2 linked regions of the Lepisosteus oculatus genome follow. The protein of the gene in region 2 binds, or shares a complex with, the protein of the main gene of each other region. Links are inferred from orthologs where the notes say so. Each region holds a gene or a part of one and is shown on either strand. Other genes may lie near its edges. The genes, in order: cinp and afg2b.

Evidence for each region.
Region 1: afg2b (region 2) and cinp share a complex: the UniProt entries of both Homo sapiens proteins name them as parts of the 55LCC heterohexameric ATPase complex. The link is inferred for Lepisosteus oculatus from reciprocal best matches to the Homo sapiens genes AFG2B and CINP.

The regions. Positions count from the first base shown.
Region 1 is NC_090703.1:6,422,206-6,430,260, reverse strand, and holds cinp (cyclin-dependent kinase 2-interacting protein), read left to right. Parts: upstream 1-5,029; 5' UTR 5,030-5,135; coding exon 5,136-5,142; intron 5,143-5,415; coding exon 5,416-5,593; intron 5,594-5,911; coding exon 5,912-6,044; intron 6,045-6,278; coding exon 6,279-6,408; intron 6,409-7,462; coding exon 7,463-7,665; 3' UTR 7,666-7,837; downstream 7,838-8,055. Other genes in the region: tecpr2 (tectonin beta-propeller repeat-containing protein 2), read right to left, coding at 534-691, 882-1,013, 1,977-2,105, 2,813-3,031. UniProt on the Homo sapiens protein: Component of the DNA replication complex, which interacts with two kinases, CDK2 and CDC7, thereby providing a functional and physical link between CDK2 and CDC7 during firing of the origins of replication.
Region 2 is NC_090700.1:43,670,476-43,678,524, forward strand, and holds the start of afg2b (ATPase family gene 2 protein homolog B), read right to left. Parts: upstream 3,028-8,049; 5' UTR 3,022-3,027; coding exon 2,952-3,021; intron 2,585-2,951; coding exon 1,491-2,584; intron 1,168-1,490; coding exon 982-1,167; intron 826-981; coding exon 667-825; intron 1-666. UniProt on the Homo sapiens protein: ATP-dependent chaperone part of the 55LCC heterohexameric ATPase complex which is chromatin-associated and promotes replisome proteostasis to maintain replication fork progression and genome stability.

The sequences.
Region 1 (8,055 bases), on a different chromosome or scaffold from region 2:
CCGCATGCGGTGTGTGCAACCCTAGTTTTTCTTTTCGACAATCCGGAGTCTGCCCAGGCCTGGCCTGGCCTGAGAGATGTTCTTGAATCGCTGGGAACCTCTCAGAGCCCCCAGGCTGCCCAGACCGCCTCTGAGGCTCAATTCAACATTGCACACAGGTTATCAATCACATCTCTACCAACACCTCGTCTTCCTGAAGATAACTGCTGGGAACACTGAGGAAACAGCCTTGATCACTATGACTGAACACAGGGTCTTCACAAAAGGAATACCCCCCCCCCATGCAATGGACTAAGCATTTTTCTTTCAAATATAACCAAGGTTACATGCCAATTAGCTACACCTTTCCACATGAGGCATGATATTAACATCTGTACTTTCTATACAGAAGGCCAGCCTATACTTCCTATCAATAAAACAGTTAGGAATCAACACAATAACTAGCATACTGCAGTTTTCTATAACTGCAAGCGCAACAAAGTCTGTGGTTTTGCAACCCACAATAAGTGTTAATTTTACTCAAGAATCCATACCCTTTCCTGGGCTTTGTTCCAACCTGCTGGACTGCCTTCTCTTCGGTGTAGAAGAGCAGGCTGTGCTGGTGTGTGGATACGAGCAGAACTTTCTGGCTGTACTCCAGCTGTACGATGGCAGACTGCTCCTCCAGCAGCACGCTGGGGTTGCACACACCCTGCACACGCAGAGGAGCCAGAGAGAGACAGGGCTCGATTAGGCATTAGGCGAGCCTGCACCAGGTGCCTACAGCAGAGCAGCACGCAGCATGCTCTGAAGGAATAAGAGGAGACAAACTGACCAGGCTTCATACACCCAGTGCTGTTTAAACAACCAGACTGGGATCAGCAAATGAACGGGAGCTGTACCTGGTCCAAATCGATGGCAGAATAGACAACTTTCCCTTTGTCATCCCCGGAGAACAATTTCATTCCGTTTGCACTCCAGGCCAGGGCTGTCACTGTGCTCTTGTGAAGTCCAACTACGTCAAAGCGCCGCAGCTGTGGGTCAGAGAGGGAAATCACAGGCACGCCGACGCAGCAGTGTCATGCCCACGAACACTGTGGGAACTCTCAAAGTCTTCAGCACACTGGTCCTTCAGAAAGGCTTATCCAGCTCACTTTCAATAAATGAATGCACACTATGCCAAATAATGTGGCAAATTAACCCAAACTCACATAAAAAAGCCACAAAAAGTTCAGAAGCACCATGAATGGTTAGTTGCATTGACCGTGTGTTCATTTCATTCCTCGCCTTGATTTCACGGCTCATATTTTAGCCTGTGGACCCAATTTGAAAAGATATACCCTTAATCATCAAATGAAGAGGCTAAGTTTTAAAAAAAAGAAACATGCATAAGAAGCCATGACTACTCCATGAAGAGTTACTGCAATCTTGAGATATAAACCTTCACGAACCAGCCCACATCATATTATTACCAAAAGGCACCTCAATTTAAAAGGGCAACATGATACAGACTAACACTGTATCACTACTAAGCCAATGAGGCAACAACATACCCAAGAAGTAAAGTAAGATCAGTAAGATAACTAAAATCACTTTATTAGCCATATACAATTTCTTGCATTAGGAATTTCTCTTTTCACATACCCCAGCTTCCTCTCCATGAGACACACAGGCACACAGACGGGGAGAGAGAAGATGGAGGTCAGAGCGCAGGGTCAGCCATTTATACGGCACCCCTGGAGCAGCTGGGGTTAAGGGCCTTGCTCAGGGTCCCAACGGAGTAGGATTCCTCTGCCAGCCGTGGGATTCGAACTGGCAACCTTGCAGCCACAGGCGCAGATCCTTAGCCACAGTGCCTCCGCTCCGCCCAGCAACACTATACTCAGCATGCTTTGCACAGATATTACCATTTCAATTACCACTCTCTGTCATTCACTCATGACTGATGGAGAAGCCGGGGTGCTGAAGTGTTATTGAGCACTTGGCAGTGTACTGACCTGCTTGTTCCTCCCGGGAAGAGGAGAGACGAGCTGGAAGAGGGCCACTCTGCCCGAGGCCGTGCCCACTGCCACCAGGTCATCGAAACAGCTCAGGAGCTTCACGGAGGTGATGGCCTCGGTCTTGCCCTGCACGGACACGCCACCACACTGAGACAGTGGAAAGTAACCTCTCTCCTGTTCAAACTGCTTCACTACCCACGCGAGTCAGCATTACACCGATGCTATAATATGTAAGACACATAGGCTTGAAAACAACTGTCCATGGGACGCGTTTCCAAAGAGTGAAACTCTTAGCTCAATTAACTAATTAAAGGACTGGGGGAATGAGAACCGAAAGACCTTCAAGTCTCCTGGGCCTGTAGTTGAAAAAGCCCAGAGGGCCTGTGGCGTATGTAATCCCCAACCTGCTGTGAGAGAAAGCTTCAGTGCCCCCTAGTGGACAATCATAGGGAACAATTCAACAGCAGCAGATGTTCAGAGCCAACCTGGCCTCATGTCAATTTGATTTTTAAGTGCATTACTTGACAAGGTGCACCAACAGCTGACCAGCAGCCCAAAAAGAACTATTCCCTTTATAATTTAACACTTAGTCCCACTAAATCATTAATCTTCCAGTGGATACGCCAGTTTAACAATCTATGCAATACAGTACAAGTCATGGTCTGCAATACAGATGGACCTCACCTGCCGCACTTTGTGGGTGAGAGGGTTAGGTAGAGCCCAGGGAAGGGAATCTGTCACTTTGAAGACAAAGCAACGCAAAGTATTCAAACAAACGGGACGATCATAGTGCCGTCGGGACCTCTGGTAATTACACGCCCAGCGCGCCGTACCTCGAGGTTATACTTATTCATCTGGTTGAGCCGCCGGCAGTAGAGGTAGAGCATGCCAATGCTGCTGCCCACGGCGATGTAGTCACTGCTGGCATCCAGCGCGGTGAGGTAGACCAGCACCGAGCGAAACCCCCTCTGCACCTTGGCGGGGATGGTGTTCAGCAGGTAATAGAGGGGGCAGAACTCCTTCAGGGCGGCAGGCGAGGCCTGGGCAGCCATGGCGGGGGGTCAGGGTGGCGCCGGAGCAGACGCTGAGAGAGGGGCAGAGGAGGGCGAGAGGCTGGGAGGGAGTGCCGACACACACCTGATAAAGACAGACCTATATCTCGGTCGCAGAAGTCCACAAATTAGGTAATTGCTGTATTCACTCATTTCCAAAATCTTCTGTGAACGAATAACACAATTAAGAAACTCCTTGCATCCATTTATCTAGCAGAAATTAGACTTCATGAGGCTACTTGTCAGATATGCAACACTGCAGTCATGGGTTTCAATTACATTTGTGAGTGCTCAGATTGCAGCACTGAACAGTTCTGGTCCGTTCCCTGAAAAATAACAATCATCCCTGTTTATTCACAAACTACATGAACATCCCAGTTCATTCACTCCTTCGGGTTATTTACATCTAGACAAACAATAAAACAAATTCAGCATTGATTTATATATATATGTATTTTAAGACTTAATATTGTTCATACTATTACAGTTAAGTGAAAATGAAAATACAGTACCTTTATAAGGCAAAAGAACACAGATGTTGCACAGATTATTAATTCAAACAAACGGTTTTGTTTATATGCTTTTAAAATGGTACATATACATATAAAAGAAAGGACACGAAAATCAGAGCTTGGAAAAACAAGAAAAAAGTATTTGATCATACTCACAGAATCAGCAATGCACAGGTATTGGGTTCCAGAAGGACACCATTTAGGCAAGTTTTGGAAATCCTGAAACCTGACAATTATTTCAAATGTATTACCATGCAAAACCCTGCAGTATTGCACACGAGGCGCCATGCATACATTGTGCACAGATAACTGAACTCTTAGCCCGTCTTTACCAACTGCTTTGAAATACACTTAACACAATTAAGGTTATTATGTTAGGCCTATATTTTAATTAGAGACGTTATACATCCCCACTACTTAATGTATAATAATGTTTGTCGACTACGCAATTTGATAAAAAGTCCAAACAAAATGACCCGCGAAAAACCCTTTAGCCTTTTCTACTTCGCCTTATTATGTGTACAAGGCGACACTAAATAGAAGAAAATTGAAGACAATTCCCTAAAACTGTCACTCAATTAGAGTTATCCAGCGGCTTGCCTTCTGAAATCTCGTTATCTCCTCTACATAAGCAGAACAAACCCAAACCAAGTTTCAGGCGTTATTCTGTAACTGAGGCCATCACTAGTCCTGTCTAGCCAGTTATTTCTATCATTATGAAAACACGCTCAGAAGGCTCACAGCAACACAAACAACTGGGGGTTTATCATCACGACGCATTTTCAAAAATAAGATCGCCGACGCCCAGAACTGAAAAGTCACTGCAAATACAGTGAATTAGTGGCAGATTACGGACTGTGGTACCACCAAGACACCAAGCACAGCACAATGCACACAGCAGACGGTCCGTTTCATATTGAAGGGTGACAACGAGCGTAATGAAAGAAGATGCAGCTAGCCACAGAGTATATTCGTGAGAGGAAAAGCATTCACAACGCCGTTTCCTTACAATAGCAAAACAGAAATTTGTCGAACACAGTCTGGGAGCCTCTAAAAATTAAACGCCCAGTACTGTACCATTAACAAAGGCCGGATTTCTGTACCTTTCAATTCCGTTTTTAATGTACGTTGTATTACTCTTTTGGTTTAAAAAATAATATTAAACAAAGCCAAACACGCTGCTTTCCTAGTGTAGTCACTGAACAGTGACAGGGCTATGTTAGCAGAATACGCTCCAAGAAAACGAAATTATCTCTTACTTACGTTGCAACGCGAACATTACATTGGATACCTTTTCTCTCTCTCTTTCTGTAAATCAGCCAATTTAATTGTGTTCTGTACATTCATTTTATGAACTGTAAACAAAAAAAGCAGCAGTTAAATTCTTTTTTTTTTTTGTTGTTACCAGAAAGCCCAGTCGCTCTGTTTTAACAAGGCATCAACATCACAGGTTCGACTGGTTGACATTTGACATCAGGAAGTGACGTAAACTACGTCTTCAATATGGCCGCCTCCTACAGTAAACATGCTTGATCTTACATCGGGGATAAGCATTGCAATTTATTTATGTATTACGTCTGAAAATTACTGACATGGAAGGTTAGTTTTTTTTATAGTGCGTGAGTTCGGAGTCTGTCAAAGAGTTATACAAAGTAGTTGTCTGAAATAACCACAAACCTTTTTATGTTCTACTCGAGAGTTCATGCCGATTTATGTACTTAAGAGTTTTAGTTAATTGAATATCAGTGAAAACATGTAAATACGAGAGCAAGCAAAACCGATTATTTCGTCAGATATATCTAAATGTGGTTCAGATACAGTTTTCTTTTAGATATTTACTATGAATCCGATTAAATCGATTTCTGTTTTAAGTTTCAGTGAACAGTTCAGGGAATGCAGCATCTATTAGAAGACCTGTTTCAACTAACAGTGCAAGAAAGATAAAGGACAATGCTGCTGACTGGCACAACTTCATTCTGAAATGGGATCGATTAAATGATGAAGGTTTTACAATTGCAAACAAAATTGTCAACCTGAAACTAAGCAAAATGTAAGTATTATTCTACATGCATTTGGCATCTCCAATAGAGAGTGGTGCATTGCCATTTCATTGTTATTGCCCATTAGCTTAAGAAAATTTACTTTCCAGTGTGAAAATTGAAATTGAGATCCATAAATTAATTTTGATTTTGTAAGAAAAGTGACGTGTAACAGGTACTGTATAAGGAGCATATATGAAAATAATCATACCCTTAATTTCTAGTAATATGTACTTTTAGTCTAGTGTTTGTATAGTATTGTTTATATAAACTATTATTCTAGTAATAAAAAACACCTCCACTTTTACTACCCTGTCTGCTTTTACTAGAACAGAAAATGACTCAGAATTTAAACTGGAGTGTGATGGTTCAGCTGTCTCCCCAAGATCTGCTACTGCAACCGAACCAAACCAGGAACTGCAGGACGAATGCACTGAGCTGTTGAGGATCTTGGAGAAAATGGTCTGTAAGAGCAATAATATTGCAGTCTTGTCAGAATTGCATTTTCATGTACATCCCTCAAAGTGGACCGCTACGTTTTGTACATTATATCAGAACTTACATTGCACGTAGATTTAGCTCGGGTCCCTGAGTAAATATATGCAAAACTATATAACTCTGAAACATACACTAATTTCTAAGAAAACATGATAAAAGTGTGAACACAGGATTCATTTTGTTCCCATTTATGGCCAGACTCACCTTGTATCAAAAATGAGGAAGCTGTCATCTACCGTTAAAGGCATATGTGCACTGGAAACATTTCACCATGGAGATGCCGGAAGAGAAAGCCCTTTGTTTCATACTTGGCCGACGGCACAGTTTGGTGAGTAAAGATGAAATCGGTACTGAATATATGAGGGATATGCTGTTGAACCAAGCTAGACCAAATTACTTCATCTTGTAAAAATGTAAAATACTTGCAGAAAAATGTTTTTATAGAATAGGTTTCTGACAATTTTTTACTGTTCACTTACTTTTAATTGTGCAAACAAGAAAGGTTACAATCACAAGCTGGCTTTTTGGCTGACCTAGCCTCTTTTGTAGTTAAGACTTAACTAGTTCGAGTTAACTTGAAGTTCCGGGATGCCCCTTTTACCGTGTGCCTTTACAAAGCAAAGATGTTTATAAGGTTCTACAGCTTGTTTTTTGTCATCAAACGTCAAGTGTTACTAAAAGTGGGCAGCACGGTGGAGTAGTGGTTAGCAGCACTGAGCCCCGAGTTCAGTTCCTGGGGTGCGATCTGCATGGAGTTTGTATGTTCTCCCTGGGATTTCTATGCGGGTTTCTCCCCACAGTCCAAACACATCCAAGCTTATGGAACGTTGCCCCTGGTGTGAGTGTATGCATGTCTGCGAGTCCTCTCCGGGTTGTGTCCTTCCTTGAGCCCTTCGCTTGCCGGGAGAGGCTCTGGCTTCCCCACGACCCTGTATTGGATAAAGCCGTTAAAAACCATATAGTTTCTTAATGTTGTGTTCCGTTTTCATGTGTGCTTTCTCAATAAAGCGTTAAAAGTGCAAGTTTAAGAGATCCAGTGCGTGCAAATAAAAGAAAAAAAAACAAATACTGGCAGCATTATTTACACTTGAGGTTCTCCTGTTTTACTCTCCTGTGCTGCCTTGCCAAGCTCCTGAAACCGTGGGGTGAAAACTGAATTGATTTTTACATGAGCAGATGTAAATGTACTGTGCAATAAATCCAGCACCATCAGGCTTTCACTCTTCAGGCCTGAAAAAGAAGCAGTGCTTCACAAAACAATTCAAAAGGCTGCAGTGGAAGTTAAAATCAAGAAACAGAATAATCTGGAACAGTAATTATAAAAGTGTCCATCAAGACCCACTGAATGCTGTAAAAGTTTTTTTTTTCCCCCCTCTCTCTAGATGACGTCTCCTCAAAACTTTTGGAATCTTATGAGCAAGAACTGACCCTTAAAGAAACAATAGTGCAAGAAATTGCACACACAACTGACCGTAGTCTTTCCCTGGTTCATCTGTCAGCCTGGCTTCATCAGCCATACATTGAGGACAACACCAAGGTTCTTTTAGAAAGCATGCTGCTGGAGACTGGGCATAGACCACTGTGAAGCAAACTGGAGGACTTATCTTAAATGTCATCAGTTTCAGATGAAAAACTGCATTCTTTCTCCTTTGGCAGAGAAATGAGTATATACTACTTCATTTTGAATTGTTTGTCCAATTTTATGCGATATTAGGGTGAAGTGACATGGGAAGCTCACAGAGAATTAAATATAGCACAGTAACAAGGCAATTCTACCTGAATATGTGTATAAACAAATACTTTTGATGAACATTTCTCTTGAAACCTTGAAAGAAGTTAGACTGCTTGATCTCATGTTCAGGGCCCTCATCCTTTTAAAAGCTCAGAAAAGATATTTATTATAATGGAAACCAAAACGTCACAAGTTAAGAGTAAAGCAATAACACTGCTTTTATATAAGCGACAGCATATAAAC
Region 2 (8,049 bases):
GAACATGAATTACTAAAGAAATGTCTTGTTTTCATAAAAAAGAAGATATATTATTAAACTTGCTTTGTGTTTACGTGTTATTTCAGGTACGATTAAAAAATGAACTGCAATCTGACAGTGTGCACTAGGCGGTATTAATGTTTTTTCCCGCCTTGTCCCTGTAGTATTAGACATGCTTTCAGGGGGTCTCCTGAGTGGTCCACTAAAGGCCTGAGCACTATGATGTGCTCTATGACCACAGGTTTGAGCCTACGTCATGTCACTAGCCGACTGTGACCAGGATACCCAGCATGGGGGAAAGGATTAGAGGAGGCTCTCTGGGCTCTGAGTGTGGGCTGGCAGTAAGGGGCACGCCTCTCCTTCTATCGGTAAGGCACCTCCAGAAGGGAGCTGTGCTGCTGTGGCGTGTTAAAGGTCAGATGACTTGAAGGCAGGCAGGCTGAAGGACTCTGCCTGCTCTTCCTCATTCCCCCCCAAGGGTGGCGTCACTGAGTGTGTAGCTGTGAGCCGAGAGCTGAAACGCACACAACTGGCTACTGCAAATCGGGTGCGTATAAAAATTAATTGATGATTCAGATTTTTTTTTAAAAGACATACTTTCAGTAAATGTTTTTTTTTTGTCAGGATGTTCATACTATGTTGTGAGTGAAAAACAAAATCCTGTACCTGTTTCAATTTCAGTTTGACTTCCTCTAGGCCTCCAATCTGGTCCCAGGTGATGTGTTTAAAGTCAGTTAGTCCAATGCTGCTTCTGAGGCACGAGGGCTGAATTTTCTTCAGGGCTTGCAGGAAGTTCTCCATGCTTATCACGTGACACCCAGAGTCCTTCCAAAAGCAGAAGTAATTAAGTCTCCCTCATATCGGAGTTTGCACCTTAAACACCCAGTTAAACTCAGGCTACACTCTGGCACATCCCAGGTAATTCTGACTCCAGCCTCGCAAAACTGTGTGCTTAATTCACAGGAGTCAGGGAAGCCGTACCTGGGAGCTGTGGAGAATGGCTTGTAAAGCAGCTTCCCTGCAGAGTGCAGTCAGGTCAGCACCCACGCAGCCCGTCGTCATTTCTGCCAAAGCATTCATGTCCACGTCACTGGACAGAGACATTTTCGAACTCAACATGTCTAAAATGGATTTTCTTTGAAGAAGTGTTGGAACACCAATCACAATCTGTGGGGAATGAAGAAGGGATTCAGTTACTCATATAATTCTGAGAAGTAAACTAAACATAAGAAAAAACTACAGGGTTACTGTTATTTTTATAGATACAATATACACTATTAATACATCAGAATATATGTCATCATTAAAGAGAATATATAAGAAGATCTAGTACAACGCGGCAAACAAATATTATTATGTCTAAATGTTAAAACTGTCTAATAAAAACACTGCAATTTGAGAACCTACTGATGCTTAAACCTTCTTCACTGGTGTAGCAGCAGAAGAAGGAATGGGACTTGATTATACTTGACTGTGACCGGTTACTCCACCTCTCTGTCAAATCGCCCCGGTCTCCTCAGAGCAGGGTCTAAGGTGTCCGGCTGGTTAGTTGCCCCCACGACGATGAATCGTCCTTCGCTGCCGATGCCGTCCATCAACGTTAGGAGCTGAGCGACCAGGCGGTTCTCCGGCGCGCTGGAGGATCCGGCTCGCTTCGGGCACAGGGAATCGATTTCGTCGACGAACAGGACGCAGGGCCCCTCCTCCGACATGTCCTTTGCCCGACGGAACATCTTCCGTAAATTCTCCTCGCTCTCCCCTGGCCTTGAGCCGAGTATCACTGGGCCATTGATGGTAACCAAAGAGGCTCCCACTGCCGCGGCTACGCTCCTCACAAGCAAGGTCTTCCCGACCCCTGGGGGCCCGATGAGCAGCACTCCTCTGGGGCAGGAGAGACCAAGTCTGTGCAGTGACCTTGGGTAAAGAAGGGGCAACTTCAGGATCTCTGTCAGGGAATCGCAGACAGCGTCCATCCCTCCCAAGGGGATCTTGGAGGAATGCTGCAGCTGGGTCTTGTGCTGGCTGAGCGTCTTGACTTCGCCGACCTCTATGCTGGTTTTAGCAGTGATGAGGCCCGCTTCACTGCCGCAGGGGTGTATGTGCCGAACTTCAATGAGCTCAACCGGAGTTTCCAGGGAAGCTACTGGAACCACATGATCGGGGGAAACATACAAGCCACGGAGCAGGTCTTTCACCAGCTCAGGAAGCAGAGAAGGGGGCGAGCATTTCTTGAATTCCATGTGACGGACAATGACGTCGACTCTGATGCCCTTCAGTTTGGGGCAAACGATTTTCTTGATGTGGCTGGGACTCACAGCCAGGGGCCTGGGAATCCCACCAATGAGATCCTCCGTGATGCATTTGGTATCAAACTGCAAGAACCCTTCAGCCAGGTCGCTCCGAGGCCATGCTGTGCACAAGCAGTCACCATCAAGGACAGAAATGTGTACTGGCGTCCCGATGTTCAGTCCCAGAGACTCCATTAAACGGGGGCCAAGTCTGCACCTCTGTGTCCCTTGATCGACAGGGTCCAGAGGCAACACCTGTAGACTCATGTTTTCCATGCCTTTACCAACCGGGAGACCTGGGAGATCATAAGAAAGACTTGTGGCAACGAATTAACTGGTGGAAACACTGCCATTTTTGTTCTAGACCTTATTGAAGCCAAATGAAGTTACCATAAATTCTCTATTGCGATGTGACTCCTAATCCGTTTAAAACATAAATGTATCCACGAGTTGAATACATTTGCAGTTTGAAAGGATAATCTAAAAAAACACGTTTTTAGTAACAGGAAACGAATTAGTTTCCAAAATCATAGTCAGCTAACATTTTGACAGCACAGACTTGCTTTTCTACACAAAAAGGACTAACAGCTTCTTTACTTTCTTTACTTTTAGAACACTGGAAAATAAAATGCTATATAAATACATAGAAGTAAATTTTCTTACCCAAATCAAGCTCAGCACATGATATCCGACTACTCAATGACCCAAACAAACAGAAGCATGTGGCCGGCATCACAGATTGGCCAATTGTGGGCTTTCTCATGGTTTACACATTGCAATTCTTATTTAATTCTTATTCTTATTTATTCTTATTTAAAAACATTCTCTGTACAACTTCAGACATTTACCGATATTATACTTATTTTGAAGGTCATATTGTCTGATTCTGAATAAAAATGAACGTTTTTATACGTAAAGTTTTTTGTGTGTGGGTAATATAATTTCAGACAAAAATTCCGTGTTTTTTATGGTTGGCCAACAGAAATGTCATGACAACCAGAGCCAACTTTATTCGACGTTTTCAGTTTAATATTTAAAGTAGTTGTAGTTTATGACAAAAGAAAAATGTAAATACCTCATAAAATCAATTTGTTTTTGACACCATTTCCAATAAATCAGCGTGCTCTTAAAGCTGGATGCGTTGCAATTCAGGTAAGATTTTGTTTATTTAAAAAGTATTTTTTTGGTTTAAAGAAGAATTAACAAAAAAAAAAACACAAAAGGCAGCATCTCATATTTCCAACACCAATTTTACTTATACTATTTTTATCAGGGTTTCTCAAATTATAATGTGTGACCATATATTTCAAAGACCACTGGCGCCACCTTGTGCTTGCAATGCGCTTTTCCTTCATGGGATAATTATTTATCTGGCCCTTTTGATTCACATGAAGTGTTATACTCTTTTTCGAAACTGTACCGCTTACACTGAACTCCACAAGCGGTTAAAACATACCCTGATACCTGGATAACTGGAACACCTTTAAATTTAAAGGTGTTATGTGGTTTATAAAAAAATGCCTTTTGTTTCCAAGCTTCAATGTTTGCTGCATCTCTTTGATAACAGCTTGTTGCCCGCTATTTTAAAAAGAATTTAATAAATACAGATTCACTAAAAATCTCGCTCTTAATAGTCAAGTAAGTGAGCAAAATTCAGAAGTGAATCAGCACTTTTCACCATATTCTAGCAATAGGACAAACAACTGAAAAATAGAATGAGTATGAGGTTCCACTATACATCCATTGCTTCTCAGTTCTCGCTATGTAACATCCACTTTGCTATAATTCGGGAGTGTCAAACTTAATTCCTGGAGTATTCCTGGAGCTTAGTATCTCGAGGTTTTAAAGTCCAACCTGAATAGCCACGAATTAACCTTTTTTTTTTAATTAGGACAGCATAGTGGTGTAGTAGTTCAGGTGGGTAGCTGCGTCAGCATGTGTAGGCTGCAAAGGAACAAGTAATAGGTTTATTCCATGCTGAAAAAAAGAAGAAAGAGAACACAACGTTTGAAACGTTGTGTTCTCTTTCTTTTTTTTCAGCATGGAATAAACCTATAGTGGTGTAGTGTTTAGTATTGCTGTAGTTCTTGTAGTGTTAGGGGCCTAGACTCTCTGTGTGGTATTTACAGTATATGTTCCTCCCATATTCACATGGGTTTCCTCCCACAGTCCAAACACATGCTACTGGGTTAATTGGAAATATTCTGGAAAAATTTGGCCCAGGAGTGAGTTAGTGTATGTTTGTGTCTGTGTGTGCCCTGTAGTGGACTGTCATCCCGTCCAGGATGTCCCTGCCTTGTGCCCATTGCTTGCCATGATAGGATAAAGCCAGTATAAGATGGATGGATAGATGTTCTTAAATAGACATATAGGCCTAAAACATTCCTCTTTAGGTCTTTTACAATTTACAATGAAAAATGCACTTCAGTAAAAGTAGTTAGCTATAAATCACCTTCATGCCTGTTTATCAGTATTAACAATTATGCATTCATTAAATAATTAGACCAGCTATGTAACTGAGAACCAGACCAAAAACCAAGAGGCACCAAGCCCTCCAAGAACTGGGTTTTAGTTCAAAGAAAAACCAAGGCACTGAGAAATCCTACACTACACTTTATCTGGACCATTTAGAGCAATTATTCCAGTACAAAAGGCTACCGAGAAGGATAATGAGAAAACTAGGACTAAGAAAAATGTCCACCAAAGTGATACAATGCTGTCAACACCCTTTTACAGCCACACTGGAAAATGTTATCAGAGGAATAACGTACCCTACTAGGGTACAATTACAAATTCAAGAGCTGCATAAACTCATAACAAAGTGTGTCTGAAAAATGGCATCAAAAGAAAAAGTAAAATGTTTCTTTTACACAAGTTAAAATAAATGGCATCCACGTATGAAGAAGCCTATGATTATGTACAGTATATTTGTGTCAGCTTACATGGTGACTGAAAACTAAATGTCGCAAAGGAAGAGAACAGTCATACTAGACTGCAGCTCTTTTATGAGATGACGTATGATTCTAATGGAGGAACTGTCCAGCTAAGAATGGCTCTGCCATGGTTATTTTAATTAGAACTGACAGCAAGCCTGATTGAAACTCTAGGAACTGCCTTTCTTAGTTGACATTACAATGCCATGGTGTGCATGGATGTGTAATAACAAAAGAGCTTATACTGTCTTTAATTACAGCTAATTAAGTATCTGCTGTGATACAGAACAGTTCATGCTTTCCAGATTTTTAGAACCACCGTGCAAAAAAATAGAAAAAAACATTTGTTTAAATTTGCAGTCAGTACAGATGATTTGTCTGCTTTGCTTCTGACAAAGTTTTAAGCTAAGGCCAGGCTTACATTACTGCCAAACACCAACATTCTGGAGCAATGTCTTAGGCTTAGTCCTTGATTACCAAGACCCTGTTTCTTCTGCTGATGAATAGGCCTATATTTACACTCTCAAGAACTGTGTTGCTGTGTTTTAGCTTGTCTGATGAGCTCCATCAGCTTGAATGATTCTTTTCTTGATTGTAATTGTGCTCCATGCCATTTGATTAATTTTATTCAGACTGCATTCTGTTTGTAAAAGAGACATTTTTTTTCACTGCAGTATACTTCAGATAAATCAACCTCCTCAAGTAATTATTGGTGATCAAACACCTACTGAAACATTGCAATGTAGGTTGAGAACAACAGTTAATTTCCATGTTGACTGGTAAATCCTTACATCCCCACAAATGTACTGCCTAAAGTCCTCCTTTGTTTTAATTCTGTTATTTGCCTTTGGGTAAAATATTTTAGTGTGTCACAGAAAGCAATATTATAAATTGAGAGGTGTTTTCCTTTGATCCTGACACTAAAGCTTTTACAATTTGATGATCATTTGACTAATCAGCAAAGGTTTTTTGTTTTCATTCTGAATAAGCAGACCAGAGATAACTCTCTAACAGCTGTGGACCTGTGGACCTGTGGACATGTGGACCTAAAATTGGCATTCTTGTGATGGTCAGTATCCATCAATGAAGCCTTCTTTACAAGGGGCATGTTGTAGTTGTATTGTAATATGCATTTAACAATGAAATGCTTTGTTGATGCATGGTTAAGACTCAGTCCTTTGATATGTTTCAAGGTTCATCAAACAAGGCCAAAAGTACTGGCGGTGGTTCCCATGGAAACCAGGCTGATTCCACCTCACAATTGCTACATGCGTTCAGTGCAGTGTTCCAAGGCAAAATGCTCTGTAAACAACAGGCTGGATGTTTGCATTGATAGGCTATGTGTCTTGACCTTACAGGTGAGTGGCACTGTTGTAAACATCGTGTTCTGCACATTCTCCAGACAGTTACCTGTCCACAGCCAGGGTCAATAACTGTTCTGGTGCGAACCGGCTGAAAGAGCCGTCTGAAGGTTTTCGACCAAGACAGTGCGGTGTGAAAAAAAAACCTTCAGAAGCCTGTCTTCCTGCAAAATGTGTTTTGGTTAGAAAGCAGCAGAGAAACACACAAGACTAAAGCTAATTAGAGGGAAGAAGTGGAGAATAAACAGGCGCCAGGTGATTTGAAGACTTAATTATGAGCCCAGTGACAGGAGAACTGAAGCTGTGAGAGAACAGAAGTTCTCGGAGCAGGTGAGGCAGCTGGGGAAGATCCATGGAAATCTTTCATGTTGGAAGCGACTCCAAAGTGACAGCGTGTCGGCTACAGCTCGGGAGGAGAGCAAGATTTTTTTTTCTTCGAGGAGAGATTACAAACTGCTGAGTGGGTTTTAATGTTTCCATTAAGTTATGTAGCTCTCCCCGCAAAGTTAAAAAAAATATATTTTAACGGTTCGCTGTTAAAAACTGTGCATTATCTTCGTCGGTTTCTAAGAGATAACAGTGTCGCGGATGACTAATTTGATTTTATAGCGCTGAAGCAGATCGCCGAGGGAGAATTGATCAGAATGCAGTTACGTAGAAACACCACCTAACAGTTAGACAATATCGTTTAATTCATACATGCATACGGTTCCAGAATAGTTGCACGGCTACTAACGCAGTAGACGGTAAAGCCCATCCATAATATGCCATATAATGTTCTTGTTCTTAATTTTGACTGGAAACACATCTTTCTATACACTGTGGTATACAGTAATTGCATAAATTGTAACGAAAGGTAGTTAATTATTGTGAGAATAAGTAGTGATTTTATATTATTTTAAAGTCTCAAAATAACCCCCAAGAGGGTATACTGGTACTTTCTATGTGAATAGCTGGGAACACAATCCAGAGTTATATACACGGTTACAGAGGTAGTCTGCTCTAATTGCATGACTTTGTAACCAGCCTTATACTTCTTTCGTAAGCAACCTGCGCACAAAAACGAAAGAGACCGTCTTTCCTCCAGTTTTTCTCCAACTGTACAGAATAATCAGATTACACCTAGGAATTCATTTTTCTTTAATGAGGGCGACGGACGTTGAGAAGCGAATTGCAACATCGAGGATCGAGACGCCTGTGAGAGACCAGCGCTGGGGAAGATTGCGCGATAGTGCACTTCCCACTGTGTGACAAGCTCGCAGCTCCACCCAGACTGAGCGCTGTCGGCTGGAGTGCCTTGCATAACGGGCTGGTTCTTCGTGAAGTCTTTTTTCGTGTACGGATGATGTAATTCATTAAACGCAACTGTGTAAGCATATCTTGTATGTTTAGCAGCAACGTTCAGTGTTTGCTACTCAGAAACGTGCAATTTTCGCAGCTGTACCTCTGATACTGCATTGTAGGTTT